Linked DNA regions of Lytechinus pictus. The protein of the gene in region 1 interacts with the protein of each later gene in a pairwise test. Links are inferred from orthologs where the notes say so. Each region holds a gene or a part of one and is shown on either strand. Other genes may lie near its edges. The genes, in order: cysteine-rich motor neuron 1 protein-like and zonadhesin-like.

The links.
Region 2: the proteins of cysteine-rich motor neuron 1 protein-like (region 1) and zonadhesin-like interact in a two-hybrid assay, tested with the Caenorhabditis elegans proteins (2 studies listed by BioGRID). The link is inferred for Lytechinus pictus from reciprocal best matches to the Caenorhabditis elegans genes crim-1 and Y69H2.3.

Annotation. Positions count from the first base shown.
Region 1 is NC_087251.1:736,521-752,631, forward strand, and holds the start of cysteine-rich motor neuron 1 protein-like, read right to left. Parts: upstream 8,694-16,111; 5' UTR 8,559-8,693; coding exon 8,447-8,558; intron 5,294-8,446; coding exon 5,173-5,293; intron 3,595-5,172; coding exon 3,473-3,594; intron 1-3,472.
Region 2 is NC_087255.1:32,034,266-32,050,582, forward strand, and holds the start of zonadhesin-like, read right to left. Parts: upstream 8,048-16,317; 5' UTR 7,935-8,047; coding exon 7,930-7,934; intron 7,062-7,929; coding exon 6,985-7,061; intron 5,687-6,984; coding exon 5,480-5,686; intron 5,337-5,479; coding exon 5,151-5,336; intron 4,325-5,150; coding exon 4,139-4,324; intron 3,221-4,138; coding exon 3,050-3,220; intron 1,837-3,049; coding exon 1,660-1,836; intron 1,497-1,659; coding exon 1,320-1,496; intron 1,155-1,319; coding exon 978-1,154; intron 816-977; coding exon 639-815; intron 286-638; coding exon 109-285; intron 1-108.

The DNA.
Region 1 (16,111 bases):
TTTCACATTCACTTTGTTCACTTCACTTACCTCCCTTCTTTAAAGGCCAAGTCCACCCCAGAAAATTGTTCATTTGAATCGATAGAGAAAAATAAAACAAACATAACGCTGCAAATTTCAACAAAATCGGATGTAAAATAAGAAATTTATGACGTTTTTAAGTTTCGCTTATTTGTCACAAAACAGTTAAACGCACAACTCAGCGATATGCAAATGAGAGAGTCGATGATGTCTGTCACTCACTATTTCTTTTGTTTTTTATTGTTTGAATTATACAATATTTCAATTTTTACAGATTTGACAATAAGGACCAACTTGACTTAACCATAAACTTTTAAATAATGGTAATTCCACATGTTCAGGGAGTAATAAAATTTTGTTTCACATGACAATGGGTAGATAATTAGAATTTTTCATATTTCATATAATAAAATACAAAAGAAATAGTGAGTGGGTGACGTCATCAGTCTGCCAATTTGCATACCGTCCAGGATGTGTATATAACTGTTTTTTGTGAAATTAAGCAAAAGTTTAAAATGTCATAACTTTCTTATTTTACATCCGATTTTGATGAAATTTTCAGTGTTTTGCTTGTTGGATTTTTCTCCTTCTATTCAAATTAACTTTTTGGTGGGGTGGACTTGTCCTTTAATACATTCCATTGTGTAATGACCCTAGATTTCAATTTGACTTGCAGGTGTACATGATGAAATTTCCCTGGGCAATTTGTCAGCAAACCTACTTTTCACATTAAGTTTGCAATCTACTTTGCAAGTTGATGTTCTAGTTTCTTGCACAGAACTGACGGCCCATGTCAGGTAGATTCTTATCCCATGTGGTCGGGTTTTGCTTTACTGATCATATACAGTAAGTTGGACATACAGATTCTTATCAATTGATTTGATGACAACATATTATACATCATGCATAAAACAGAGAATTTACCTGAACATTGTTACTCTTAAAGTCACACACTAAAATTTGAGAGTGAGAAAGTTGTATTTCATTTTCTGATCTCTTCAATTAATAATACGAAAATAAAATTGCTATATTGGCAACCATCACAACAGGTTGCTTAATATTGAACTAAAAATCACATATATGAAACATGATGAAATCTCTGTCAATTAATGAATGTGTTTGAAAACTGAATCTACAATAAATATCAAATACATTTTGATTAGGCCTGAGTAGAACCAGTCAGTCCGGGACACTGGTGCAATTTCTTCCAGACTGATAGACTGCTAGAATAAAGAAAAACATGAAAAATTCAGTATCTTCAAAGACTGTTAATATCAACCACTTTTCAAAGCATTATTCCCTTATCTAGATCTATATATCAAAACTTTCACATGATACTAAATTTCAAAGTAAAGCTATGAAAATAGTAATGAGCAAGATTTTTCAATTTTCTTGCTTGAATTTTATCAGCCCAAAACATTATAATCCCTGTTAACGAGCACAGCCATCTTATTCTGGTTGTGATCGCATTTGTTTATAATTGCAATTCTGCAGAGGAGTAACTAAAAGTGGAAAAATTGCAATCAGATTAAAATGGATGTGCCCATGCACCTGGGATTAAAACAATTCGGGCCTATAAATTGAAGCAAGAAGATTGAGAGATCATGCTCAGTTCTATTATTTTCATAGCTCTTCTTGGTTAATTTTAGGTTTGGAAATTTAGTCTCATGTGAAAATTTTGATTTACAGATCAAGAAATAAAAAGTGATTGAAATTCATAGTATTTGGTGACACTGAATTTCTCATGTATTTCTTCATTTTGGTGGTCCACAGGTTAAAAAAAAAAACAGGATGTCTCAGGCCTAATTTTGACATTTAAAGCTTGGAAATATATACAAAAATAAGTGTGCATATCATTTCATAGAACACAATATAGCAATTTAGCATATACAAAGTACTCCTCCCATTTTTTGCTAAATTTTCAAACCTGAAACTAATTCTCTTAAAAAAGGATGGAAACGTGAGACATAGGTATTTGATTCAGTAATTCTACTTGGGGTAACACTAAATCCATTCTCCTGTGTCTCCACATAGAATGGGGGCAAAAGAGACTTGAAACCAATACAACATCAAAGGATCCTTGCGCCCATTGTCTTTTATAAAGTATCTTTAGAGCTTAGGGAATTAAACAATGCTTGCACCTTGGACACTCTGGAGTGAATTTCATGCTTCTTTTCAACTTCACATTCACTGATATCATGGCATGGAAGCTCACCGTGAAATTATCTTGTTTTAAATGTCAACAAAAGCATCATGACAGAGTTTGGCTGAGATGTAAAGACCATGCTCTTTATACTAAATGTAAAAGCTTATTTAATGCAGAGACATGTTTTCACTAGATACAACACTTTGTTCACTTTACATGTAGATGTTGAAAATTCATGTTCTTAATAGTTTCTAAGGCATGTTCACACTAGATGTTGTAAATGAATGTTCTCACTCAATGTCGGGTATGTTCTCACAAGGTGTAAATGCATGAAACACAATTTTGTAGATATACTCAAGTAGTTCAGAGTAAATATCAAGGTGATATTCACTAATCATTGATATTGTACTATATTGTTTGAATATAGTTTTGCGAAATGTTTTAAAAAGTCTGTACATAAAGAAAATGACTTAATAAAAACCTAGACATGCAGCGAAATAATGACCTATTGGTATAGGAGTCTGGATTTAGACTGCTTTAGATTTGATGGAATTCCCTGTTGACAGTCATCATCTTAAACTAATCCAATGAAGTGGTCCAGGGTAGGTGTTTCAAGAAGCTGTTTGTAAGTAACATATGATTTTATGAACGACTGGTGACACTTTCTCGTGCCAAATGATATAACCCTGTATAGCTAACTTAGTACCTGAGGTGTTCCAGTCCTCTGTAAAGTCATGCGTAACTTTAGGAACAGCTTTATGAAACACCCACCAGATGTAGTCTGTTGACATCATCAGCAGAATGTATAGCTCTACTGGAGATACTGTTGGGCAATAAGGTCAATGCTCTCAGGAAGTTTGAAACATTCCATCTTGTGACTCAATAGTCTACATAACTCCAAGAATACACTCTACCTCTGGGTACTTCTTTGCAATATTTCAATTCAAACCATGAACCCATAGATAAAGCACTGTTATACAGAAGACGTTACATGGTCTTAAGAAATAGTTTTCAGGATAGCTTCTTGAATCACTTCATGTGTCCACCTTACTACCGTAGCGGTCGCTGATAGATTGGTCTAGCATGAATTATTCAGGAAAGGTGAGAGTGAACCAGGGGAGTGTTTCATCAACATTTCCGTCCGACAAGTTGTCAGACCTGACAACTTTCCTTGATTCTGATTGGCTAAGAAGCACTGTTACTATGGTGACTGTCGGATAAAGTGGGACTTGTCGGATAAAACGTCCGACAAGTCCTTTCATGAAACGCTCCCCAGGTCAGAGAAACCTAACTGATGATACTTACCAACAACACATTCATAGACATCACAGCATGATCCAGGTTCTATAGTACCACTGGCTATTCTCCTAGGAGAATAACCTTGAGAACAGACTGGTGTCATACATCGCTCTAGGGCACAGCTACATCTATCATGTAATAACAAAGGTAAAATCAATGGGTTAAAATCATGCAATCGTCTCCATCAACTATCTTTTCATTCCAATCGTAGTTACAGTAACTTAAGTGTAATCCAATGTCATTGCCACAGATGGATGGGAGGTGGTTTGTAATAATCAAGGTTGTCAATAGTCCTGCTGTGATTACATCAATTCTAACAAGTGTTTTATAGTGCCAGCTTCTTGCTGTTGCTTGACTGTCATATGGGTTCTGAATATCAACATTTATAACAATAAATCGGAGTTACAACAGTAATTCAGTAATCTTTATTTTCATCACTTTTTTCACCAGATCAATTTTTTTCATACACGAATTCAGATAATACAACTAAAAACTCCTAACTGCTTGTCCTCTGTTTATATCAAGTTTTTGGGGGTGGTTTGGGTGTCTGTTTATCAAAATGTTCACATGTCTAAGGGTGTGTTTATGATTCCATTGCGAGGACAGAATTGGCATTTCCAAATGCAATTTCAGAATGCTGATTGCAAACATGGTTCTGGGAGTGCTGTTTATGCTTAATTTTTCCAGAGGCAAAATCGGAATCTGCAGCTGGCTTCACATTATAATTTACATTGAGCAGGAAAGCGAAGTCGAATTGGGCACATCCTTTTTCAATTTTTTTTTGCAGAGTGTTGGAGTGGTCAACTGTTATTTTAACTTTGAACAACTTCTGATCTTTTAGTAATTGCATGGAGCTAGATGGCACCCCGGGGGGGGGGGGGGGGGGGCTACTCGAATTATAACATGATACCTACGTGCCACACCAAAGTCGAAAAAAGGGGGCTCTGGAACTAAATATTGGTCTTTAAAATGGGTGTCTCCAGAATGGCCCTTGAATCAATAATTGCTAAAAATGCATTGCTTTGGAATTGACCATATCAAACATGGGGGTCTCTGGAACTCATTGATTGAGCTCGCCGCCCCGACCGGCTGAGTAGTTAATGATGGGCGCGTACTGGAACGAGAAAGTACAAATTTGAGGGTCTCTGGAACAGGGGAAATAGGAATTTCTATGACTTTCTAAATTGGTGATGCTCTGGAACGGAAATTTAGAATGAAAATCGGGGTCTCGACCGCGCCATATACATATCATACATTTATGCTAAGTAGCCCCCCAGGGAATGGCATAGCCATTCCACCATGGTGAGGGTAATTGGAAGACAAAATAGAGTATGTAAGTACACATTCAAGCAAATAATGACATCAGGTTTTGTTTGGCTCAGTGATGTCTCCTCATTAGAACTCATGTTCAGTAAGTATGATCTCTTAACATTTATTCTGATGATGAATAAGAGAAGGATTAACTACAATAGCACTTTATTCAATAATCATACCTGCAAATTCTTGCTCATTATTAAAACCAGGGAGTTGAGAGGTAATGATGCAACTGTATTTCCTCATGGATGCAATAGCGTTTTGACCTAATCACGTTTGAAAATTCTTATTCTGGCCTAAAAAGTGGAAGCATAAATGCTCCCTAATTTCATGGATATAACACATGTTTCTATGGGCTGTCAAAGAAGTTCCATAGCAGGAACCTTACTGACCTGCTTGGTAGGATACAGCAGCCATCATCTGACATTCCTCCCATCACAGCCTTAGAATCAGGAGGACACATCTCTTCAGAGCTATCCGGACAAACAACTCCATTGCAATGATTGGGGTCCACTGAAATAATAAAAATAATAATAATTAACAAATAAGTATCATAACCATAACAAATAAATATTGAAAACAATAATAGTAAAAAAAAAATAATAATATTAATAATAATAATAAAAGTAATAACAAGTAATTATTACAATAGTATTCCGCTTTTTGTGTAGTGCTTAATACACCGGATTGAGGTCTCCAAGTGATAGAAAGTATGATAGTTGTAAAATAACTAATAATCATGTTCATCATTATTAGTCCTAGCAGCAGTAATGGCAGTAGCAACAGCACTAGTCATCATTGTCACCATAGAGGTTGTGGTAGTAGTAGGAGAATTGCAGAAATAATAGGAGTAGTATTAGAATTAGAGGAAGTAATCATAATGTGGTGTTCAGGTGGTTTTCAGGAGGTGCAAGTGGTGGTGGTGGTGGAGGGGGTGCTGGTAGTGGTGGTGGTGATGACAGTGGTGGTGGTGGTGGTGGTGATGACAGTGGTGGTGACAGTGGTGGTGGTGTTCAGGTGGTAATGGTAGTGGTGATGGTGGTAGTGGTGGTGATGGTGGTAGTGGTGGTGGTGGTGGTGATGACAGTGGTGGTGGTGGTGGTGATGACAGTGGTGGTGGTGTTCAGGTGGTGACGACAGTGGTGGTGACAGTGGTGGTGGTGTTCAGGTGGTGATGGTAGTGGTGATGGTGGTGGTTGTAGTGGTGGTGGTGATGGTAGAATTTGAACTTAATTGATAGTACATTACATATGGGAATAACAGTAGACCAACTGGTATTAGACCAAAAAATATGAGCAAACAAAAAATCAGATTTCAAATGATGAATCACCATAATTACAACTGATACTTTTAAACAAAAACTTCTTAAATTGGCCATAACTGGTATCATGCCCTCCATCCTGTGTCAAGGAATAGGGTGGTCTTTGATATGATCCATAATTTGGTATCGCTCTCTTAGAAATGGTAGAGAATAAAATTGAAATGACATCCCAAAGGAGTTTAGCACAATGAACAGCAATTTTAGTTGCAATTCATCATCTTCTTTCGCTAGTCTTCTTCCAAAAAAAAACATGCTATAATTTCAATATCTCTTTCATTTTACAAATTGAGGCACTTTAAACAAATAAGCCATAAAACCATCTAGATGACATCAAAAGGTAAGTTCAGAATTAAAATGAAGGAGATCAAGAAGATTCACTAACAAGGGCTAATTTAGATTTTAGGAGCAAAATGGAATTTGTCCCATGGACCTATGTACTTTTGCCTGAAGCAGATATAGATTGTACTTCAAGTCTATCTAACCTTCAAAATGTATTATTAGTATTATTCATTATTTTCACAGTTTCTAACTCCTTTTTTTCTTAGAAGAGGGCAAACTACCTATGAACTTTAATCCAAACTTGAACATTTCTTTTGAATGTTGATCTACGTTCTAGACACTCTTCATTTACTAGCTTGGAAATTCCTAGAGATCTTACACTGTGTCTATAAATTCTGCCACCTAGTTTTCACTCACTACAACACCATTATCATGATAACAATAGGTTTTCACAAGCTCACAAAAATGAATTGATTATTTAAAAAAATACTTTATACTATTATAGTCTAATATAAGAGGAAAAGTAGCATTATTGCTTCCAAAAACTGAAGAAAAAAAATATGTAAAGACTCCATAATTGAAATAAAACTCTGTGGCTGGTATTGATTCTAGTTTGTGATGGCATTCTGTAAAAAGTGCATGGCTCATATTGTATGAAGGAAAGAAGACATGACAGGGGTATGGGAATAGAGGGGAACAGAGTTCATATTCTGATGAACTAGAGTAAAAAGATGATTGATATGGATTATTTCATTTCATGTAGGTCCTTGTCATCACATGTCCTAGGATTAGGATCTTTGAAATGGTTTTCTTTTAAAGGAATTGTGGACTAATGCATGCACAGATAAAGAATGTAATTTGTAGGCTTTCAATATATCAGAAAACGATCTATATAAGCTGCATTCACACTTGCCCAGTCACAAAAATAAATAAGTTTTCAGGCTTGAGAATAAGACTTCATTTTTTGCATTCACACCTACCTCAACCAGATAAAATTCCTGCAATTATGAGCTTGAAAGAAGATTTTCATTCCCCTACAACATTCTTCTTGCCACATATCAAAAGTTATCACAAGTTTTTTACCAAGGTGATAATCTCCTTGATTTTTTAATTTGACCAAGAAGAAATCCAGGCAAAGCTATTCATAATTGTGAAAAGTAATTATTTCAATTTGTTGTCATTTCTTTTAGGGATAACAAGTACTTTTTACACTGACACAAGTATTTCACATAATCTAGGAGATGTTAAAGCATTTGTAGAGAAACATTATTCAAGTAAGAATGTGGAGCATATAAACAGAACATGGGTTTGGTTTCATAAAGCAGTTTAATACTGGTATAGAAACATGGCAATCCAAAATTCCATATGTAAATCTAGATTTAATCATTCCATTTTTATTGAATTAGCTAGAAAAATATCATTTATGCAGATTAACATTCTTATTGAGCTCACAAAAATGACTCTTCCTCATCAAAAGCAAGAATAATTTTTTTTATTACAATATAATTGGGATCATTTGAAACCATCACAAGTTTTTTAATATCTGTAAAAAAAAATGACACATCATTTGGTATTTCTTATTCAAGTCATTCATAAAGTCATATGTAGACCCTTTTTTTAAACAGAGTCATTGCACACATTGAGAACAATTGTTGCAAAGGAGGTGAAATATGGCATTTCTATCGGTAAATATACATGCATATAGCTCAAAGAATAAAATAAAATTGAAGGACCAATGGATATTGGATATCTCTTTTATTTATTCATTGTATAATAAAGAGCAACACAGATAAATGCCTTGCTCAAGGAATTGGTTCCCAAACTTTTGTGTGTTAACCAGGTGCCTTAGAACATCTTAGCCTCAGCACCAATAGATGGTAATAAATTAATTACTGTGTTATGTGATTAGACATCACCTTTAGAGTGTAGACTGTTCTTTGAATTCACATTCACATGAGCAAAGATACATCTATACCTGCTACCATCTAACAAATTTCAGCTAAAGAATCATGGTGGATTAACTGTTTAAAGGTCTATCAATACCCATCTAATTCTGATATACTCACTGATTGGTCTGCATTCATATGTAGCACAGCATGATCCCGGCCTCCCATTACCAGCACTCATCTCATGATACTGGTAACCCTCAGCACAAACAACATCATGACACGCCCCCATGTCACATAAGCACTGAGGGGGGCGAGGGCAGCATTCACCTTCTTCCCGTTGAGCCTCTATCTTTAGACTATCTGGCGGACAATGGATATCAAAAACAATGTCGCAGCGTGCCTGAGAACAGTCTGCTGGAGTTGGCTCTGGAAGACAAAATTGGAAACATATATTTCAACATTAATATTAGGATTTATGCATATTTATAAAGCATATAAAGCAAATAATGTATGTGTGTGTGTGTGATTTGTGAAATCAAGAAGTGAAAGCTGATAATACATGTAAACGTGGCTGATGTACTATAAAATAGGTTCTGGTGGGTGTTTCATAAAGCCGTTCATAAGTTAAGAGCGACTTTAAGAATGACTGGTGATCCTTTCTTTTGGTAAATGGTATACACCAAATGTTCATTGGCGATGGGTTAGCACATAAGAAAGGATCACCAGTCGCTCTTAATTTAAGAAAAGCTTTATGAAACAGCCCCCTGGACCCTGTTACATGAATACCTGTAGACACATATGATTGGATAAAACAACTTTTCCTATGATCTTTGACCTGTCCTCAGCACTTGGCAGGCCTGATATCATTTCAAGCACAGACATCTATTGAATACATCTAATACTTCCTTTGAAAAGCAAAGTTCACCAACTTCATCTACACAATAACACTAAATCCATGGAAACATGAGCGGTGTGGGCAAAAGAAAAAAAAAAATGAGGCAAAATACAAAACAGAAAATGAGGCAAAATAAAAAAATCTCGGGTGATCCCAGGACAATGAAATTTGCTCATGATCAAGCCCTAATGAAAATTTGAACAAATTTGAACAAAGGACGTGATCATATTTGAGGGTAAACATATGGCAAGAGAAAATGGCTCAACATTGTGCCAAGGCATTTATTAGGGAAGAGAAAAAGAGAAACTCTCCAGCTATTTCTAACCCAGAAAATTATCATCATCAGATTAGTCTCACAATTATTTGTAATGAAGATACAGGCTATGTCATGGGGTCTTTAGATTACAATTCAAATCAGAAGACTTCTACAAAATAGTACATTATTTGGTGAATGATCCAGCTAATTTTTGCAAGTGAATACAAATAATTTATTCATGTTACTATACCATGTTCTGTAAAACAACAAGATCTATGCCATATTCCACACTCGAGCAAAAATAGCCCTCTCGGTCTGATTTTGTCTCTTCAATCTTTCAATCTATGTTGGCTGATCAGACTAGAATCTAAATGAACAAACTTGGTCTGATGGAGATCCACCCTAATCAGCCAATAAAAGCCACATTATAGTCATGTCTGGAAGCAAGTTCACTGAGTCAATGTGAGGAGGTAATTGGTTTCCAATGATCATTGTTCTGCATGAATAGCATCTAATCAATCATAGATGGATGAACTCAAACCAACATCATCTTCACTTTACATAGAATGATAAATAGTGTTTGCAATTTCAGATGATAGCTGACAAAGATGCTGGGAGCCAAGATGCAGAAAGGGAGATATGCCAATCAATAATAGATCTGCTCCTGACATTTAAAAAAAATTCCAGTCGGACTTTGTTTTAAAAAAAAATTTAACAGTGTGTCCATAAAACAGTCTATAGCCATTTAGGGTGCGTTTATGCGCCACTTTTTTACCTTAGAATCATGATCTGAATCATGATTCAAATCATGATTCTGCAGAATCACGATTGCGTTTTATAGTCAAAAGTGAAAATAAACGTCTTTCAAATCACAAACAAGAAACACAGAAAAAGGGGCATTTGGAAAGATGTTTCTGTAGAATCACGAACAAAAAAGGTTGTATGAACGTAATCGTGATTTGAATCATGATTCTATGACGTCACTATGTCGGGCTACTTCCGGCTTGACTCTGCTACGCTCAGTCTGTGTACATAATTATGTGCCATGCATGTATTTCTTGTCACATGCATTTATTTGAGTTCTGTGTGGGTCATTGCATTGTCTTCTGCATTTCATTTTGTTTTTTTCATGGCTTCAACTTTAAGCTCTAGTAAATGAACTGGAAAGTTAAAGACGATGAGCTCAGTTTTTATAACAGTGCCAATATTAAATTGGATATATGCTGAAATTTACTTCCGAACACCATTTTTGATAAACCGACTAGATGAATAAAAGTAAACAATATTAGGTATAAAAGACTGAATTCTGAAAGCAAAATGTGTTTTTTCGAGAGCTGAAACCATGGAAATAAAAGGATTCTTACCTTTTATTTTAGTGACCGAAACACGCGCAAAAAGTTGACCTATACTTCCTGGGTCAAACTGCAAAGTATGGTCTGATAAGCAGGTAAGGCACTAGCCTCTTGTCGAGGCCCTGTCGGCTGCTTTCCAAACGAACATGGCTAAGCAAGGGAGAGAGCGAAGCAGAGCGCTGCGAGACAGGGCCTCTAGACATCTGGGCTGAATTTCTTTTGTTTATTATTGTTTTTTTACCAATATTCCGACCAAGAACTGGTCGGTGAAAATCATCCAATGAGAGCGCGGGCCGCTATGACGTCATATTGAATATTCATGAGCTCATCTTGAATGGCGACCCGTGGATTCTTGGCGAAGAGTGACGACAAAATATGAAAGAGCATTGAATATGCCTCTAAAAATGCTGAATATTGACCGATTTAAGGATTTGCAATTCTATGAAATTAAATCTGCACTGACAGGACGAGATGTTTTGTAAATATACCCACAGGATATGGAAAAAATGTAATATTTTTCAGCGATTCCACTATGCGTCGATTATCGATCTCCTCTGTGCAGTGAGGGATTAATGCTGGAGTGGAGCTTCCCCTTGACTCGAGTCTGACCAGCGGCTGACCAGTATCTCCCAGGAAGTTTTGGGGTGGTGATGGGTCTGCATGTTACGGCCAGTACTATAGTAGTAGCAGTAGTATAGTACCACTACTTGTAGCATTTTGCTGGTTATATCCCCTTTAGTGTCCCGCAATTAAATGAATCCCCTGCAGAATAGTGGACTACTATAGTATTCCGAAACCCGGACGAAACAGCTTTGACATTTCATTAGTTTACTAGGTGACCGGTAATATCATGACTCATGTATATTCATTAGGAAGACGTTCCTCGTGAATATATAATTCAGCTCATATGTCAAGAGGCCCTGGCTCGCGCCAGGCCTAATTCGAATTAGGAAATCCCTCGCTTCGCTCGGGAAGCAGCCGCCAAGGCCTAGACAAGAGGCTAGTAAGGCACGAGACTCAAGCTCGCTAGCTTAGCAGCTACCCACAGCGCCCATGCCCAAATACACGATTGGAAAGTAAGTTCCTGTATTTTGCCTTCACACTGCCAAAATACCTGTAACATTGGACCAAAATCCCCGCAAATTTTGTTGTCATTTATACAAGTACCTAGTATTTAGCAGGTAATTTCTTTTGGGGATATTACGTTAATTTGCTTTCACATTGCCAAAATTACCTGGTATTTTCTGATGAGGGTAGATCAGGGAAAATTTCCCGATCAGAGAATACCTGGAACTTACGAACTTCGAGGCAGTCTGAATATGCCTAGAGACTAGAGAATATAGGTAGGCAGGTGTATGATAGGGAGTATCTTATAACAAACAACTATGCGTCTTGTCACTTCTCATCACATCAACATTGTATTTACAGCTTCCAATTTACACTTTTCTTGTCTATTCTCTGCTATCTTGTTACCCCTCTGCTCCAATCTTAAAACGTCTACATTGAATATTAATCCAAAATAATTGTATTCAGGCAAGGATCCAAAATTAAATTTTAATTTCAATCGAAAGGAACTGTTATTTTAATTACTGGAGAGGGTCTGTTTGGTGTGATGGCATGAGGAATATTTTTTTCAGTTTTTCAAACAACTTTGCTGTGATGTGTTTGTAATTAAACCAAGATCTAAGTAAACTTGCGACCTTACAAGTAAAAGCTTACTTAGCAAGTAAAATTTCATGATTGTGTTTTCTTTTTATATTTTGAATATATGTATGTCATTGTAATTTGATTCATCCCTAAATTTTGGACTTTGAACTATAGCAGTTATAACTAGAACTGCAATCGTTTCAGAATGATGTGCATGCATTGACGCCTGTGATTTAATAGAGGGCAAGAAACAGGAGATAGAGAGAAAACTCTAGATGATATACATTCTGAAAATATTAGAGGGCGCTATTTCTTAAAGGAAATGGTCACTGATGTGTAAAACACAGTTGGATTATGTGAAATGATACAAATGGCAAACCCTGAAAATATGAGATCAAAATGAATTCAAACAAGGAAGTTATGGCAATTTTACAATTTTCTGACTTTGCAATAGAGGGTGCTATTTCTAAAGGTTATAGTCACTGATGCATACAAAAACATTTGGCAATTTAGGGATGATACCATAGGCAAACCCTCAAAATATGACACCAAAATGAATATAAACAAGGAAGTTATGGTAATATTACTATTTTTGACTTTTCAATAGAGGGCGCTATTTCTAAAGGTAATGGTCACTGATGAGTAACAAACCAGTGAATTATGAAAGATGTTACCTTAAGCAAACCCTGAAAATATGAGACCAAAATGGATGAAAACGAGGAAGTTAGGGTAAATTTAATATTTTCCACTTTTCAATAGAGGGCGCTATTTATTAACGTAGTGGTCAATGTTGAGTTTAAAAAAAACATTTGAATTATGAGGGATGATACCATAAGCAAACCCTGAAAATATGAGACTAAAATAATTGAAAACAATAGAGGGCGCTATTTCTAAAGGTAATGGTCACTGATGCGTAAAAAACATTTGGCATTTTAGGGATGATACCATAAGCAAACCCTGAAAATATAACACCATAATGTATAAAAACGAGGAAGTTATGGCCATTTTACGATTTTCCTACTTATATTTCAATAAATATGAACATTTTGAATGTAGACTATCTTGGACTTGAATTTAGTGCAAGAAGACGGCATTTTGAAGGGCAGATCGTATTTATATATGAAAGAGCAACTCTTAAACTATCTACTGCAATTTGTTAGAAGTCTGTAGCATGCAGGATACGGGAGTTAGGACGGGATTATAATTAGGAATGGTAAGCAAATGGACTTAAAATTTACAAAATGGCGCCTGGATGGTCATGCATGAGTGATTTTGGAAAATGAAAGATGAGGTGCACAACTAGGGGTGCTGGAAAACATGTCTACCAAATTTGAATGAATTTGGATGAGGGACGGAGCCAGCGCAGAGCTAACAAAAACTATGTGTTAAACGAATGGGATTTTGTGGAAGAAGCAGACAGAAGACAGAAGAAGAAGACGACGGAATAGGAATACGGAACAGAGCATTGTTGCCTGTAGGCGTCAATGCAATAAACTGAACTGAGTTCATAGCAATCTACACCATTCTACACAAGTTTTATCTAATACTTTTACCTTACAAATGGTAAATTAGTGTGGATCCTGTAACCATGTAATGAGGTAAAAGCCTTAGTGATATCACAATGAATCTCAAAATCAGATATCTGTATTAGATCAAACTAAACTAATTTCAAACTAAAATCGTTATTTTCTCAAGCAAATTTAATATTTTTTAAATTAAAAGATATAACTATGTATTTTTCTACCCACTTGTTAATCTAAGACACATTGATTTATTTCATAAAATATTGAAATGTGTTTTTGCTTCATTTAGCAAAGGTTCTGGGTAAGATAAAGAGAACGCTGGTTGTACGGCATAAGGTCTGTACAGTGTGCTTAGTTTGTCAATTACTGTTGCATGGGACACCATAAAACCATTATTCAATTTAGCAGTAAATTTGGGTAAAGGTTAAACAGCAACATCGCTGGAGACACCAGCTTATCTAATCACCGAGAACAAATTTAATCAATTTTTGCTAAAATGAATGGTTTTATACAGTGCTCAGCCACTGCACTCTTAAGGTAAGGCAAACAAAGTTTGTATACATCAAGATCTAGTTATAACTAGAGCGACCAAATTATACAGATGGAACAGGAAGGCAAATACTTGATTCAAAACCCTACATTCGCTTGTCATGAACAAAAGACTGTAGTTACATAGCTCATTGGAAATACACAATCAAATTTAAATCACACCTTGCATTAGCATAATACAGTGATTGCAAACCTATTGATATTTGGGTTATATTTGATGAGGAATTTTAATGCACTTCTTTTCAATTTCAACCAATCTTGACGCAAAAAATGTATTCAATTCAGAGAGTCATTCCGAAGGGAATATGAATGTTTCAAGTCCAAGGGGTGTGTGAACAAAAATACCTGAAAAGTTTGTCGCATTGTCACGCAAGGCAATAAAACACAACCCAGAAATCTTTTTACTGCCCTGAAAACCATTCATAACTTCACAGCGATGACAAAAGGGTCCATGCTAACACTAATATTGACGCACCCTGAAGGATGCTGTAGCTGAAGCAAATATCATTTAGTGCAGATAATGAGCCTCATATTGTATTCTTCTAAGACAATGTTTACCTGAAATGTTTAGTCTGGTAGAAGAAAACACTTGGTTGCTTTACTTATCCCACTCTGAGCAAGATGAATAGAAGACACACCCATCCTGAGTATATATTTACAACACAATTATCACTTCAATTTAACCCTCTGAAGGAGCGCTTCAATATCATCTTTGATTCACAATTCATATCATACAACACATCACTATGTTCACACTATCTGTTCAAAGAGGGTCAAACAAAAATTATAAAATAAATTTATAAATGTATTGGCCTAGCTTTGGTTTTGCAGCAATTTTGGATGGCTTTAGTATTTGACTGAATTTTGAATACCAGGATAATTAGATATAAAAGGAATTATGGAATTAGACTTTTCAACACTTTTGAATTTCATGAACAGACATCCAACTGTCTCTAAAATCTAACATGAAAAAAATAATAATTTGTAATTGATCATGGTAGAATTCCTGATTAGAAAATACCAAGTATTTTCTGTGATTAACTGGATATGAAAGGACCTCAACATTCATTATGGAAATGCAGGGATATGACACAATTGTTATGTTGTGTAGTAGAAAATAAGATGGCATTCCTAGTAAATTGGTATTGATAGTCTCTAGAAGGTCAGTGTCAGGTCAAATCTAAAATGAGAGCTAAGGCTAGATAGATGATACTAGGAATGGTCATTTAGACTAGAAGTGAAGTTCAATCTGATGTCAGGTTGGTTTTAAAAAAGAATAAAAGAAAACAAGTATCAATGAAGGTTGGGTGAAAAAACCATCAGCGGATAACAGAAATGTGAATTTATTTAGACTTAATTTTTTGTGGTGTTGCTTTCAAGCGAGTTTTAAGCTAACAAGAATGTTCATATAAAAATGCGTGTTCAAACAAAATGTTGACAAAGATAATTTTCAATGAAGAAATACTATGCAACTTGGGAATCATAACCCAATAATATCCATCCTCATCCAGGGAGGGGTGGGGGGCCATTTACATTGACGAGTGGATACCATGCGCGACCAAAAAAACACTTAAAAAGGATGTCTTTTTCAAGATAGGGCATACGTAACGTAATAAGGGT
Region 2 (16,317 bases), on another chromosome or scaffold:
AGATGGGATGACAAAAGACAGCCAAGATAGGTATGAAAGGAGGAGAAAAGGGAAGTCAAAGAGATAAAAACAGAAACACAGAGGCCATAGGAAGGTGGAGTCACTTACTTGTTGATGGGCATTCACTTTCCAGAACACATTGACCGTTTTCATCACGTAAGAAACCATTGTCACAGAAACATCCTTTAACACAAAGAGTAATGCAGAACTGTTCATTATCTTTATTCTCACAAGTTTTTGGACATGCTGATCCACATGATGTGAAGGATTCGTTCTCCCCACAGCCTGCAGAGAGCGAATAAAACAAATGAAGAAAAGACATTGGTGAATCTTAGAAAACAGTGGAGGACAGGAAACAGCCAAGATCTGTAGAAAGGGAGGAGAAAGACAGACAATTTTTTTTTTTTTTTAAGGCTAATTTTCACAACTTACTGCATAATTATGCTACATTGGATAAGCTTTAACATTGCAGTAAACGGGGATTTTCCACGGTTCCTTTTGTAAGTTTCCATAGCTTTTTAAAGCATTTCTGGGGCTAAATTGCCCCAGCCCATGTGTAATTTTTTTCCCTGGAGAAAAAGAAAGTCCAGGCGAAATGAACAGAAACAATGAGGCCATAGGCAGGTGGAGTCACTTACTTGTTGATGGACATTCACTTTCCAGAACACATCGACCGTTTTCATCGCGTAAGAAACCATCATCACAGAAACATCCTTCAACACAAAGAGTAATGCAGAACTGTTCCTCATCTTTATTCTCACAAGATTTTGGACATGCTGATCCACAGGATGTGTAGGATTCATTCTCCCCACAGCCTACAGTGGGAATACAACAAATGAAGAAGACATTGTTGAATATCCTTATAGAAGATGGGATGACAGAAGACAGCCAAGATAGGTATGAAAGGAGGAGAAAGAGGAAAAGTCGAAGAGATAAAAACAGAAACACAGAGGCCATGGGAAGGTGGAGTCACTTACTTGTCGATGGACATTCACTTTCCAGAACACATCGACCGTTTTCATCGCGTAAGAAACCATCGTCACAGAAACATCCTTCAACACAAAGAGTAATGCAGAACTGTTCCTCATCTTTATTCTCACAAGATTTTGGACAGGCTGAGCCACAGGATGTGAAGGATTCGTTCTCCCCACAATCTACAGAAGGAATAAAACAAATGAAGAAAAGACATTGGTGAATATCCTTAGAGACAGATGGGATGACAGAAGACAGCCAAGATAGGTATGAAAGGAGGAGAAAGAGGAAAAGTCAAAGAGATAAAAACAGAAACACAGAGGCCATGGGAAGTCAGAGTCACTTACTTGTCGATGGGCATTCACTTTCCAGAACACATCGACCGTTTTCATCGCGTAAGAACCCATCGTCACAGAAACATCCTTCAACACAAAGAGTAATGCAGAACTGTTCCTCTTCTTTATTCTCACAAGTTTTTGGACAGGCTGAGCCACAGGATGTGTAGGATTCATTCTCCCCACAATCTACAGAGGGAATACAACAAATGAAGAAGACATTGTTGAATATCCTTATAGACAGATGGGATGACAGAAGACAGCCAAGATAGGTATGAAAGGAGGAGAAAGAGGAAAAGTCGAAGAGATAAAAACAGAAACACAGAGGCCATGGGAAGGTGGAGTCACTTACTTGTTGATGGACATTCACTTTCCAGAACACATCGACCGTTTTCATCGCGTAAGAACCCATCGTCACAGAAACATCCTTCAACACAAAGAGTAATGCAGAACTGTTCCTCATCTTTATTCTCACAAGTTTTTGGACAAGCTGAGCCACAGGATGTGTAGGATTCATTCTCCCCACAATCTACAGAGGGAATACAACAAATGAAGAAAAGACATTGGTGAATATCCTTATAGAAAGATGGGATGACAGGAGACAGCCAAGATTGGCAGAAAGGGAGAAGGTGGAGAAGTCCAAAAGACATAAAAACAAGACATCACATTACCTAATTTCTCCAGGATGCCATGTCAAAATCTCTGCTCACGCTTCTGTTGTTAATCAGAATTGAAAACTAAGTTTAAATGGAAAAACGCAATTCAAAACTTCATTTTTTCATTTTTTTTTTTCATTTTTATGTGCCATTTTGAGAAATTAACCAGCAATTATTAATTCTTTATTCCCTTCAGCAGGTCTATTCAAATCGCTGACAATTTCACCAATTTTGGTGCATAGAACTCATAAGCAAACCCTAAATAGCTGCATGCATGGGCGCACATAATATGAAAGATAGTCTCAATCGAGGGGGGGAGGGGATAACTTTTACACTTGATGGCTTGTTATGTCTGGAGAGAGACATAAAAATAGATAAATGAATAAATGTGAAGTCAATGGTATATATTCCATGCACCTTCAGAATGTATTAAACAAACCAAGGTCCTATTTCAGAAAAACTTGTTATAATAACAAATTTGCGATAACAGTTACAAGCTTACTGAAATCATTCAGTTTGATTGGCTGATACTATTTAAACTTATTAAAAAGAAATTGGGCAATTTTTATTACAACAAATCTTTATTCAACGGGACCAAATACAATGACACCTTTAAGTGTTCTTTGAGGTCATTAGCACTACTGAGGAAAATAATTTGCTTTCACGAACTTGCGCTTGGACATTCCTCTGGTGGAACGCATGGTCCGTCTTCAACCAAACGGACAAATCCTTCTTCACAGAAGCATCCAGCCACACATTGGAGAGTGCAGATGACACTCTGCTTAAATTTGGCCAAGATTAACTAATAGATAAGTATCAATTAAATGTGTAAATGAAAGGAGAGAGGAGGTGAGAAGACTATTAAGATGAAAGACACTGAAAATGGTGAAATTAAAATAAACAATGAGAAAAATGATAAACAAAATTATATGGATGTAGGGGGGGGGAGTGTTTCATGAAACATCAGTGATTTTCATTGACAAATTTGATCTAAGCCAATGAGAAACAAGTATTTCAGTAGTTTATAAGTTATTTAGTGAAAATCAATGACTATTGTTTCTTAAAATGAATCCCTGATCTGCTTACCTGGATCTGGACATTCTGCTTCCAGAACACATCGACCGTTTCCATCGCGGACATATCCGTCATCACAAACACATGATTCTTCACAATTCAGAGGACATGGGAGTTTTTGGTTCTTATTTTCACACGTCTTCTGACAGGCTTCGCATCCAGGAGACTCGTTCTCTCCACAAACTACAAGGTGAGAAAGATGGTTAAGAATACCAGTGGGGCAGGGGAGGGGCGTCAAATCTGGGTGGACACCATGCTTGTCCACAAAAGTGGGTGTAAAGCGGGTGTTTTTCACAATCATATATGCACGGACAGTGAAAAGGGTATCAAACTTGCCAAAATCAGGAAAAAGGGTATACTTTTCAACAGCCATGCAAGAATCAGAAAGGGGAAAGGGTATATTTTTTGTCCTATCATAAACATAGAATATTTGAGACATTATTCAGTGTTGGGAAAAAATGAATGGGGTACTCTGACATCTTGAAAATTCATGGACGAGCATGGCGTCCACCAAGAAACAAGAGTTGTCTCCCATGAGACTTTATAACAGAGAAAGCAATGAAGGTAAGGTGCCCATGCAAAGTCTGTACAGTGTCCCTTGTCTGTGCATACGCGTATCTGCGCAATTCTAATAAAAGAAGACATGCAATGACCTCATATTTTACAATTGTAATACATAGACAAATATTCAATGAAAACTTGACTCAAAATAAGGAAAATATTGAATTCCAGGCATTCAATGTGAGGGCCTCGATATGCAGCTTTTCTCATCAAAATATCTGAATCATGTGTAAAGTGAGAGGATGCACAGACATGGGGTACAATTTTTTTTTTTTTCAATCTGACAATGATTGGCCAAGATTTTCACAAGATTTTGGCACCCTTACTCATAATAATATAAGGAACATTATCCACTGACATTTTTTATGGAATAAAAGGAAATTCCTGTTCAATCTCAAGTTAAATTTCTAGGTGCACAGACATGGGGCTGCCCTTCATACAATTATTATAAGCTGGTTAGGAAGGAGATTAGAATAATTCTTAAAGAGTCTGGTCACCCTAGTCCCACCCTCCCTTTGCCGAGGATCAATTGCTACTTACCAGGTGGACATTGTGATTCTAGAATGCATTGGCCGTTTTCATTGCGATCGCGGATAAACCCTCTGGCTTCGTCACAGACACATCCAGGAGAACAAGGAGCTTTGCAGGCTAAGTTTAAATTTTTATTTTCACAGGTTCTCCGACAAATGGAATCACAGTTAGAGAAGACCTCGTTCTCGCCACAACCTGCATGGAGGAAAGATGAGTGGATACTCTATAGTGTGTCCCAGAAAAGAGGCAACTTTTTTTAGGCATAGATATCTCAATCATCAAGTGTATTTTGATTTCATATTTGACACTTATAGAATGAGTAATCATGCTCATGGACGCCCTCTCAATCGACGAGACTGCACATTGAATATTGTGCATGTTGGCACACTCTCTGAATTAAGAGACCAAGTTTTAACAGTTTATATTCACTTGGCCAACAAACAGCTGGTTTTCTTCTCAGATAGTCTAATAACATATGAGCTAAACACATTTGATCTTGTTGCCGTTTGGTCTACATTACACTTGGTTTTATACTCACTTTTTCTAATGCCTAGTTGATCAACTTTCCATTTTTTCTACTCATTTCTTTTTTTTTTCATTTATCAAATAAAAATTTGATTAATAACTTCACTTTTTGCAACCATACTAAGACCAAGCAGTCTTATACCAAGTTATAGTATACAAATTGGGTATAGACCAAATGGTAATTAGATGTAATAGTAAAATACACGTAGTTCAAGTGGTAAATTGACCAAAAGGTTATTAGACAAAGTGGTTGTAGACAGAATGGGAAAAGACCATGTAAGATGAGATGCATGTTGGCTTTGGACAAGGTACACCAAAAGTATCAAGGACCATACTGTCAGAACATTCTGAAGAACAAGAAAATAGACTATTACCATGGCAACAAATACAAGAAGAGTAAAACAATATTTCAGGAAAATGTGAAGGAGATAAGGAAGAAATATCATGACATAAAAGAATATCTCTGGAAATGAGAAGAGGACCCTTCAAAACTTACTTGGTGGACATTGTTCTACTTGAATACAGTCACCGTTCTCATCCCGGACATATCCATTTTTTCGATCACAGATGCATTTTGGTATGTTCTGACAAGCCGCTCTACAAAATATTGGCTGTGGGTTGCTGCATGATGGCTCAGGACAAGGTGCACCACAAGTATCAAGAACCATGCCTTCAGCACATTCTGAAGATCAAGAAAATAGAATATTACCATGGCAACAAATACAAGAAGAGTGAGACAATACAGGAAAACATGCAGGAAATAAGGAAGTTCATCAAGACATAACAGATTATCACTTGAATTAATAAGAGTTATTTCAAACTTACTTGGTGGACATTGTTCTACTTGAATACAGTCACCGTTCTCATCCCGGACATATCCATTATTTCGATCACAGATGCATTTTGGTATGTTCAGACAAGCCGCTCTGCAAAATATTGGCTGTGGGTTGCTGCATGATGGCTCAGGGCAAGGTGCGCCACAAGTATCAAGGAGCATGCCTTCGGCACATTCTGGCTCTGGAGCTGCCGCTACTGCAAAAGTCAAAGCAACACAACAAGTTACTTAGCAATAATTTCCCCTTAATTAATTTTACGTATGTAAGACTTGCATATTAAAGGGGAAGCCCACCTTAACAAAAAGTTGATTTGAAAGATGATAAAATCTAACAACTCTTTCATTTCATCAAAATCAGAAGTAAAATAGGAAATTCACAACAAATTAAACTTTTGGTCAATTAAACATGTACTTATCTTCTATTCACTGCCTCTCAACTCATCTACTGTCTTCTACTTGCTGCCAGCAGGATTTCTCAACTCCTCTCAACTCATCTACTTATCTTCTGCTCACCATTAGCAGCACTCTCTCATCTCAACTCATCTACTTATCTTCTACTCACTGCAGCAGGACTTCTCATCTCAACTCATCCACTAATCTTCTACTCACCACTGGCAGGATTTCTCATCTCAACTCATCCACTAATCTTCTACTCACAACTCCTCTACACATCAACTTAACTTATCTTCTACTCACCGCAGCAGGACTTCTCATCTCATCTCAACTCATCCACTAATCTTCTACTCATCACTGGCAGGTTTTCTCAACTCCTCTCAACTCATCTACTTATCTTCTGCTCACCATTAGCAGCACTCTCTCATCTCAACTCATCTACTTATCTTCTACTCACTGCAGCAGGACTTCTCATCTCAACTCATCCACTAATCTTCTACTCACCACTGGCAGGATTTCTCATCTCAACTCATCCACTAATCTTCTACTCACCACTGGCAGGATTTCTCATCTCAACTCATCCACTAATCTTCTACTCACCACTGGCAGGATTTCTCATCTCAACTCATCCACTAATCTTCTACTCACCTCAGCAGGACTTCTCATCTCATCTCAACTCATCCACTAATCTTCTACTCATCACTGGCAGGTTTTCTCAACTCCTCTCAACTCATCTACTAATCTTCTGCTCACCATTAGCAGCACTTTCTCATCTCAACTCATCTACTTATCTTCTGCTCACCATTAGCAGGACTTCTCATCTCATCTCAACTCATCCACTAATCTTCTACTCACCACTGGCAGGATTTCTCATCATCAATTCCATCTAGTTTACAGTCCTCCTTAGGAAAAAGATACTTTCCCTCTCATCTTTCTCTTTCGCATCTTTCATTTTTCTTCATCTCTATCAATCCACCATCCAGTAGTTCTTCTCTTGCCCAATAAAATGGTGAAACATAAGCCTCTTCTATGATATATGTACAACCATGCAAACATACAAAGATCTCCTGAGAAAAGAAATATAATTTGAAAATAAACTTACAGTTTGCTTCTGTTGATGCAGCAAGTAGCCCGACCAACAATGGGATGAACATTCTTGAAAACATCTTGAAAACACAACTGAAATAAACAAAACAAAGGTATTTCAAAATCTTAATGAAAACACTCCTGTAAGTTCAGGGGCCCGTTGCAGAAAGAGTTGCAATTAATAGAAACTCTACAAATCAATCGCAACTTGATTTTCAACCAATCAACAGCACGCATTTGGGACTTGCCATTGATTTTTTTACTTGCGTTTAAACGCAACTATTTCTGCAACGGGCCCCTAGGGCTAGATATTATAAGTATTTCAAAGGTTATTAAGTTCTATAACCCTTTGACAATGGAAATATGTAATTGCCATTATGTTTAATACAGCAGTCACAAAAATCCAATATCCTGAAAGAATGTATAATGATATTGATAAAAAAGATAAGGATAAGGCCTGCTCTCCCTGAGCTAAGGTAAATAGACCTACACTCTGAGAAATGCTAGCGAAAATCATTGATAAGTTCGGTTTGAACATTCATCTCATAACATTTTTTAATAAAAAATCTTATTGACCAACTTTTATCATACATGTAGCTGTAATTAATGATAGTATTCTTTTAGAATCGGTAGGTTCTAGGTTATAAAGTCTCTCCTATCGTTTCTTCAATTCTGATGACAAATTTTAAAAAAATATGTGTATTTGACTTCAAAACAAAGTACTTAAAGTTATATTAAACCCAACATATCATTTTCATTATCTATTTACGCTTCAGAAAAGGACTACTCAATGTACAGGGTTGTGTGATGAAAAAGTTTGTTCTACCTTTCTTTTTGGTAAGATAAGGGTTGACAAGTGTCAGCTCTTTAAAAAATATGATGACTCTTTAGATTGCTTAAAATCTGAGAATGAAAACCATGACTGAATATTCAAGAGAATTATATGAATTCTCACAATCACCTCATCAATCTTTCCAAAAGAGGTACAAGCCAGGATTTTTTTTCTAAATTCCTAGCAATATGAATGTTCAACTTGAGCACAAAAATAAAACTTGCCTTACCTCGATGGTTGTTACCTCTGATCTATGAGAATATATTTCCAAAGTGAGAATACATATTTTCAAATAAATAACAAAACCCAGATTATTGATCCATGGCATCTGGTCCCACACCAGGTACAGGTGCTGAAATGGAGTAGACCCGTGGGGTTGCACCCCCCCCCCTTTTATGAACAGAATAAATACAGATAAGATTATTATTGAAAAATAACACAATCTGATAGATACAATGTGCATAACTGATATATATAGCTTTGTAAAAAAATACCCCCCCAAAAAAAATACAAAAAATACATTTATCATTTGGTTGAAGCTATCTTTCCTCAGCTTTGCTTTGGAAAGATACAATTGACATCTCATTCACTGAAACCATATTTTTTCCTTTGTACTGTATAACATTGGAAATGATCTAATCATAGAAAGAAAAGGAAGGCATTTTCTTCAAAAATAATGTCAACTGAACGATTGAACATTGCTTAATTACTGACAAAGCAACAAAGTTCAATCTCTCTTGTATGCACATGCCAATTGCTTTTGGTGCGCACAATAGTTTGTTTTGATCATGCACAAGGATAATGCTTTTTTTGGGGGGGGTAATTTAATTAAGTGCACGCACTGTGCACCTATGAGTTAAGAAAAAAATAAACATTGAAGTGCAATGAACCTTAATTAAAGATAGTACACAATCCAGCAAACTCAGATAGTACACACTGTACAGCATTTATTTAAATAGCAGATAGCACACAGTGCAATGCACCTCTACCAATGTTAGTATACAGTGCAATAACTTTCATTATGAGCTCACTCCAGATAAAGAAAATGTGTGTTGAAACTGTATTGTATAGAAGACTGAAGAAACTCGGAAGATAAGTGAAGATCAAGAGTACTACTTGGGTCCCGTTTCATAGATACTCGTTATGATAACAAATGCATAATTTCTAAATTTCTAGAACAAGTTCACTATCACCAAATGAAACTGCATGATTTCAGTAGCTTTAAACTGTAATCGTAAATTTGGTGTTATAAGAAGTTTTATAAGAACAGACCCTAGGTGTTTGATGTGCAAATTACAATTGATCATGTGATTTAGTTTAAACCAATCAGATTGCAACATATTAGACAAATAACCCCTCCCTATAATATCACCGTTGACAATACCCCCAATATTTGGTTTATGTTCGTGACAATAGTGTGCACAGATGGAATAATCCCAACCCTCGACTCTAATTTGATTCACACTTTGTTAACAAAAATATTAATCCTTGCTTACCCCATGGACCTATTACAACCCATGCTTATCCCAATTACATTCAAAACATGAAACGAAAATCCATGATTATATCGTTTGATATTTGACAATAATCAATATTTAGTTGTAAACATGAAGGTTAACATCAGGCTTAAAGGCTACGTTCTAAGAAAAATATAACGCCCTTTGGATTACAAAAGAAATTTTGAAGGACCACAGTACCATCGTGTGACAGTAACGTGAACAGATGGAGTTGTCACATCTCTTGATTTGCAAAAACAAACCCTTGACCATCCCATAATTCTATCACTTTGATTTACAATATACACAATTGACACTTACTCAAGGTTTGGTATTCTTGTATGCAGTTATTAACAATAGGATTACTCTAATATGGGAATAGAATGCATTTTGCAATAACCTTATATAGGAGTACTAGTTTGGAACAAACAAAACTTAGATTTTCTAATGAAGAAGAGTTATGATATTGATTTGTTTTGGAAACAAGTGTCTTCTCAAGTGTAGGCCTACAATTGCTTGTTTTTCTCCTCAAACATTATTTTCAAATTTCTCAACCTTATCAATCATACTTTGGTTTATTTTCCTTCTTCAGAGGTTTTTCTAACAAATGCATATGTATATATATATATAGAAGACATTTCTCTTCTCCTGTCTCCAACCAACCGCGTAGCCAGGATTTCATTTTGGAGGGGGCGGTAAATGCACGCGAAGCGTGCCAACACTTACAGAGCACGCAAAGCGCGCTCCCTAGGGGGTGGGTGCAGGGAGGGGGAGTTCCCCCCCCCCCCGCGCGAAGCACGAAGCTTTTGGGGTTTCATAAATTAAAATGAAAAGGAGCCGTCTCTCTTGTCTCTAGTACCTATATCAGCTCCAATTCAGTTGACTATATTGTGCTTTTGAACCTCGTTTTCATGAACCTTGCTTTCAAAAGTGATTGTGAACGCACAAAAAAGGCAATGGAGGAAATTAAAATAATAATAACCCTGCGCAAAGCGCTGAAGCTAAAGCGTTTTATCAATTTTTTTGCCATGAAAAGGGTCCCGAGAAACGGGTATTCTCAAAGATATATTGATTACTTCCCTTGGAAAGATCAGATTTGATTACAAACAATTTAGCGACAGTGCATATCTTTAACTCGCAAAACAGAAGAGAAGAAGTGTATATACCAGGAGGAAAATATTCCTCCCCGAGCAATGAAACTCTGAAATTTCAAAGGGCGGATGTTTCATGAAATGCAGATAGGCCTATCTCTAATACCCCATCGGCTCTAATTCAATTGATTTTCTAAGATTATTGAACTTCATTACAAAGAAAATAATGCTCAAAAAGTTGAAACTTCTGTGATTTATTGAAATTATATAAAAAAGGATGCCTAATTTCTTTGACTAATCCTGAAGCGCTTCATTTTGAATTATAAAGAAACTTAGGTGTCATTCAAAATTTCAAACTGAGGGCGCAAAACATGACAGGAGATGAATGTGCAGGGAAATGACATGAAGTTTAATAGAATTTGATAAAAAATATTGTACTTTTTTATTTAGTATATACGACACAAATTTTATACCTTCCTCTTTTTAAATCAGGAAACTGTTTGCCCCAAAATTATGGTTGTTTAGTAATGAGCTGAAAAGCGGGAGAAGTTGACTTTATGGAGGTGACGGCAGAAATTGATATAAAGATTTTACCCGCCCGGAACCGACCCGGCCAGAAGTTGCGCGATCAATCAAAAAAAGATAACTTCATATACTTCGATATAACTTTACTCTAATTCCATGCCCTAATGTATACATTTGAACTTTAACTGGCAAGAAACACATATAGCTGAGGTGGAAAAACAGGGTTAGAGAAAGGGTGGGGGAAACAAAGGAGAACTTCAATATTGTCATTTAACCGCGCACAGCGCGGAAGCAAAATTCATATTTAGAGCAAGAGTGAAGGAGTTTAATTCTCTTTTGAGAAAAAATTTTAAAAAAAAATAAAAAAAAAAACACAAAGCTACCTTTCTTCCCTTTCCTCCCTTCCCTTTTCCTTTTCTCCTCTCTTTTTTCCCTTCTTTTTTTTCTTTTTGGGGACGTTTTGGGGGGGTGGCGACCGCCCCCACCGCCCCCCCCCCCCTGGCTACGCGCCTGTCTCCAACCCCAACCTCACTACCCTCACTTTCTTTCTTCCTCTCATGATCATCAATCATCAAAATCATCACATACCAAAGAATAAATCTAACACTGTTGGGATCATTATCTACAGTATCATCATCATCATCAAAATCATCACCATTATCATCATCTTAATCAACATCATCACCACCACCACCACCACCATCATCATCATCATCATTACAACATTTTACATAAAAATCCACCATTCACAGTACTAATGAATTATGTCTTTATCATCAGAACCAAAATCAAATGGAATGATCTCGTCTATTATTAGGAGAGTTGACTAACTAAGCATTGCTGGAGTAGTCTGCAAACACAGACTCAAAATTGACATTTTAACCCATTATACCAGGTCTAGAGTGAAGACTAGATTCCAAACTCTCTATGTCTTCGGTAGCAGCAGCCACAGTACATATAATATTAAACAATAATAATACCAATGATAATAGTATTCCACTTTTGTACATGTAGAGCATTTAATGTACTCAGAATAGCATCTCCAAGTGCTTTTACATGTATATAACTACTAAAGGTCATTTGATTCCGATGTGCTCGCAAACATGACGGCACTAAAATACAATAATATAATTCATCACTCGACTCACATTTAATCTACCAGACAAGGACATTCTTCTTTTACAAAGGAAAAATTCATACATTAACGAATTTCTATAATTACATGAGGCTGGTATTGCACAATTCGGATACTAAATTTATTTCATTGCTACACAAAGAGATGCTATGATACTTTTACCTATACATGTTTTACTTCGAAGAGTCATATCTATTTTTTCTTCATAACATTCAAACCAGCCACACACACAAAATTTGTCTGTGCATGTAGGTCTTTTTACAAAACAAGTCTACAAATTACCTATTAAAGCCACTAAGGGACGCACCATTAGAACTCCGGGGGGGGGGGGGGGGGGCTGGAAGTTTTTTCCCCCCAAAAAAAACTTGACTCACCATCAGAATAAAAAAAAAACTTGGTCCACTGACAAATCATCTGAAAGGTGCCAAAAAATGGACTATTAAAAAAAAATTACTCAAAGAAAAAGGAAAAAAAATGCATCAACCCAAACTTCCAGCAACCTCCCCCCCCCCCCCCGGGTATCTAATTGTGCGTCACTAAGGGGTAAAAAATGTGCATTATACTTGAGTATCGTCTAACTTTCCAATCTTAAAAATTCGTAGAAGATGTTCGATATTATTTCAACTGCCAATTCTCCATGATTATCTAGATATTCAAATCAAATTACATGTATCTAACGCCCTCTCTTAACACTATTTTCATTTTCCATTATAAGTCTTTTTGGGCAATGAGGTGTGATAAATGGGTATCCGGTAGGAACAAAATCCTTGAATGCTCAAGCGTCTGCTCAGAGTAGCCATGCTAAAGCCAAGGTAATAGTATGCAGCGCTTTATATTAAGCCCTATATAAATGTTGCATATTATTATTATTTATCTTAAAAAATTAGAAATTGGATAATTAGAGGCTACAGGCAAAGTAATATATCCTGAAACTTTCAGCCAAGTTAACAGTTTGGAATGGGTTTCTAATAAATAGAAAAACCATTACATTTTGATCGAGTACCCGATCAAAATACATATTCATGTACAATCACAAAATGTATCCTGTAAAACACTGTTTTAGGGCATCATACACATTCATATAATCTTGTAATGATTTGGAATAGTGATAGCCACATTTTGGGGAATTTACCAAAGCTAAAAGAGGCTTTAATTCTTTGCTATTTTGACATCATAATGGCTTAGTATACGTCTCCAATTGCTTTAGCTAAAGGTTATTTTCAAAGAAGTGTCATTAATTTAGGCTTCTTTCAACAAAATCTCTCAGTATGTTGAAAGGTAGATTTGGGGGTTGTTTCATGAAGGACTTTCAATCATGCTAACTGTCCCATTATGTTAAAGTAGCATCGTAGTAAAGGCTCAGCAGCCAATCAATCATAAAATATATAAATTTATATTCAGCGACACGATTGGTCGAATCTAATTTATCTAATTCATAATAATAGATGAATAAGTACATGTCCCTACATGTACAAGTATAGGGGCTGACACACCACTTTAGCCAGCATATGCTGATGGACACAAACTACATAAAAAGTATGTTTATTTGATTCTAAATTCATTTTTTTTTTATCAACACAAATGATCCTTCACATCAGATAAAAGGAGAAAAAACACTTGCCACACATACAGTACATTGGCACAAGCTGGCTAAAACATCTAGGGGAGTATTTCACATGAAAGGACTTGTTAGACATTTCATCTGACAAAGTATATTTTATCTAACAGTTACCATAGGTACTGTGCTCCTAAGCTTATCAAAATAAAGGAAAGTTCCAAAGATATGACAACTTGTGGATAAAAAATGTCGACAAAATGCTTTCCAGACGCAACATCCCCTTTTAAAAAGGCCAAATGATTGTCTCTCCCATAGGCCTCTCACAATGTGCTCCTCCAAATATCTAGTTTTGGTCCAATATTCAATGAGTATAGCAGTACAAGACATGTTCCTGGCTCCTAATAATTCAAACCATCATCATACATCACTGGTAAATGTAAATAATATTTTTTTAAATCTTAAGTCCTTCCAACAGATCATTCTAATGGCATCTTCAGTGTCACCAAGAAGTGGAAGAGTTGTCAGTTGCCATGAAGTCAGGTACATGATCTTCACTTTGTGCAATGCCACTGGAATATTTTGAGATGGCAAATGGTATATATTAAGACCACATTTACTTCTTTCTCATGAATAGTAGTTCTCCTTAGACCATGTAATAAAAGAAAGAGGATCATCCTAGAGAGACACCGTCCTGTCCATCCCAAATGGTCCTAAGACAGCAACCTGCCAATTAAGTCCTTCTTTCTTGTCATCCTTGAGCGGTATTTATACACAGGTTGTACAGTAAACGCTTTTCTGAAAGACTAGCGTTGTTCCAGAGATTTGTCTCTAGCAATAACAGAGTCTTCAAATTTGATCATGTATGTGGTTCCTTTGTGCCAATGAGCAGTTACCTTAGCCGGCTGTGTGTGAGGGGGGGGGGGGGAAGGGAGATGACAGAAGAATGGGAGAATGAGGAAAGAAAAGGAAGAGAAAAGGCGATGTAATTATTATACCATTTTCCTATAAAATAAACAGATATTGACTAAGATATTAAAAGGTTTTTTTTAACATATATCTCATAACACTAGTTTTGAATCTCCATAATATCACCAAAACGGTCTATGGTACCTAGCAATAGTTGTTCTATATTGTACATTTCCACAGGTAAATGTCAGAGAAATCAATAAAATAAGTGCAGCACCTTGACATTTGGCATTGTTACTTTGTAAAACAATTATGTATTATAGAATGTTTTATAGGTTTATCACACTATAGAAAATTAGTAAGCTAATGAAACTATAGGTCTCACTTTTTTCAAACAATTTCATGAAATGAGATTACCAATACTTATTTTTTCTTCAAGATTATCAATAAATAAGTTATCAATCAAAACATTTATATCATTTGTTGAGTGTAATAACCAATACAAAGAATATATTTATAATATAAATAGAATCACAATGTAGATTGTGAAATTGATTTCTTATTTTGTGATAAAATGCTCCAATCTAGGGAAAGGCATGATTACAATAGCGCCATCATGCAATCAAGTAACAAAAAGCCTATCTCAAGCTTTGGAAATGGGTCAGTGATATTAGTTAAGTATGATGAATTTTTCAGCAATTAGAATTCAAATTTGGCATATTTTCCAGCCATCACAAATTGAATTTGGCATTACCTCCCCATCTCAGCAATGGTCTTTTTTTTTAAAGCCCTTTGAGCCCATTAAAGCTAAATGAAAGTAGTTGCAGTAAAACACTGATTTCGTGAGAAAGTCTGTAAAACCAAGGTTAAGTATTACTATACATCATGGATCTCGATCTGGTACAGTTACATAAACTGAACTTTGTGAAATCATAAAATCTAAGCTGAAAAACGATCACACTGAAGATCGCCAACACAGATAGGCATGCGTGGGACAGTGTATATTATTATTGCTGGAATACAGGCCAGACGGAAGTGCCTGAATCCGCACTTATTTTGCATTTTTCTCAGCAATTACACAATTTCTTCCAGAATCCCTTGGCACATATTTTTTATTCATACAAAACAGACACTTGGGTGGTCAAGATATTGGATTCTGTAAAAAGTCATTTTGAGATCGTTACCACAACTGGCATTTATCTTTAAAGCTTTAGCAAATGGAAATTAGCTCCTGACAAAGATTATGTCCTGAAAGTTTCAGCTCATTCTGTAGTTTAAAAGGGGTTTTACAAGACATAAAAATGCAAACATTTTATTTTGATTGAACACGATTGACCATTGACCAGTCTTTAAAAACTACCCCTTTTTATATTATTTTAAAATAAATTCTGTAAATCTATCCAACTGTGAACCTTGCTCATTTGTTGTTTTTACTGCTATTTCATCTAAAATGTTCACATAGACACTACAAAAAATTATATAGGCATACATGTCAATCCATTTGCAAAGCAAATTGTTCTGCTTTTGTTAATGTCAAGTCATCCTTCTTAAAACATGTGCTGGAAATACATCTCAGCAGAACACTCTGTTTTTTAGTTTATCCTATCTTGACATAAAATAGAAAATATATACAGTTCCCTATTCATGCTTGCTATCAGTGAGCCATTTTTTTTTGTTAATGCTAATTTACCCCTTCAAAAACAGCTGGAAATAAATGTAGGCTGAACACTTTGCAGGATTTTTCTTTTTAATTTATATTCAGAGACAGGAAGAGAGAAACAATGTGTCTAATCCACAGGTGCTAAT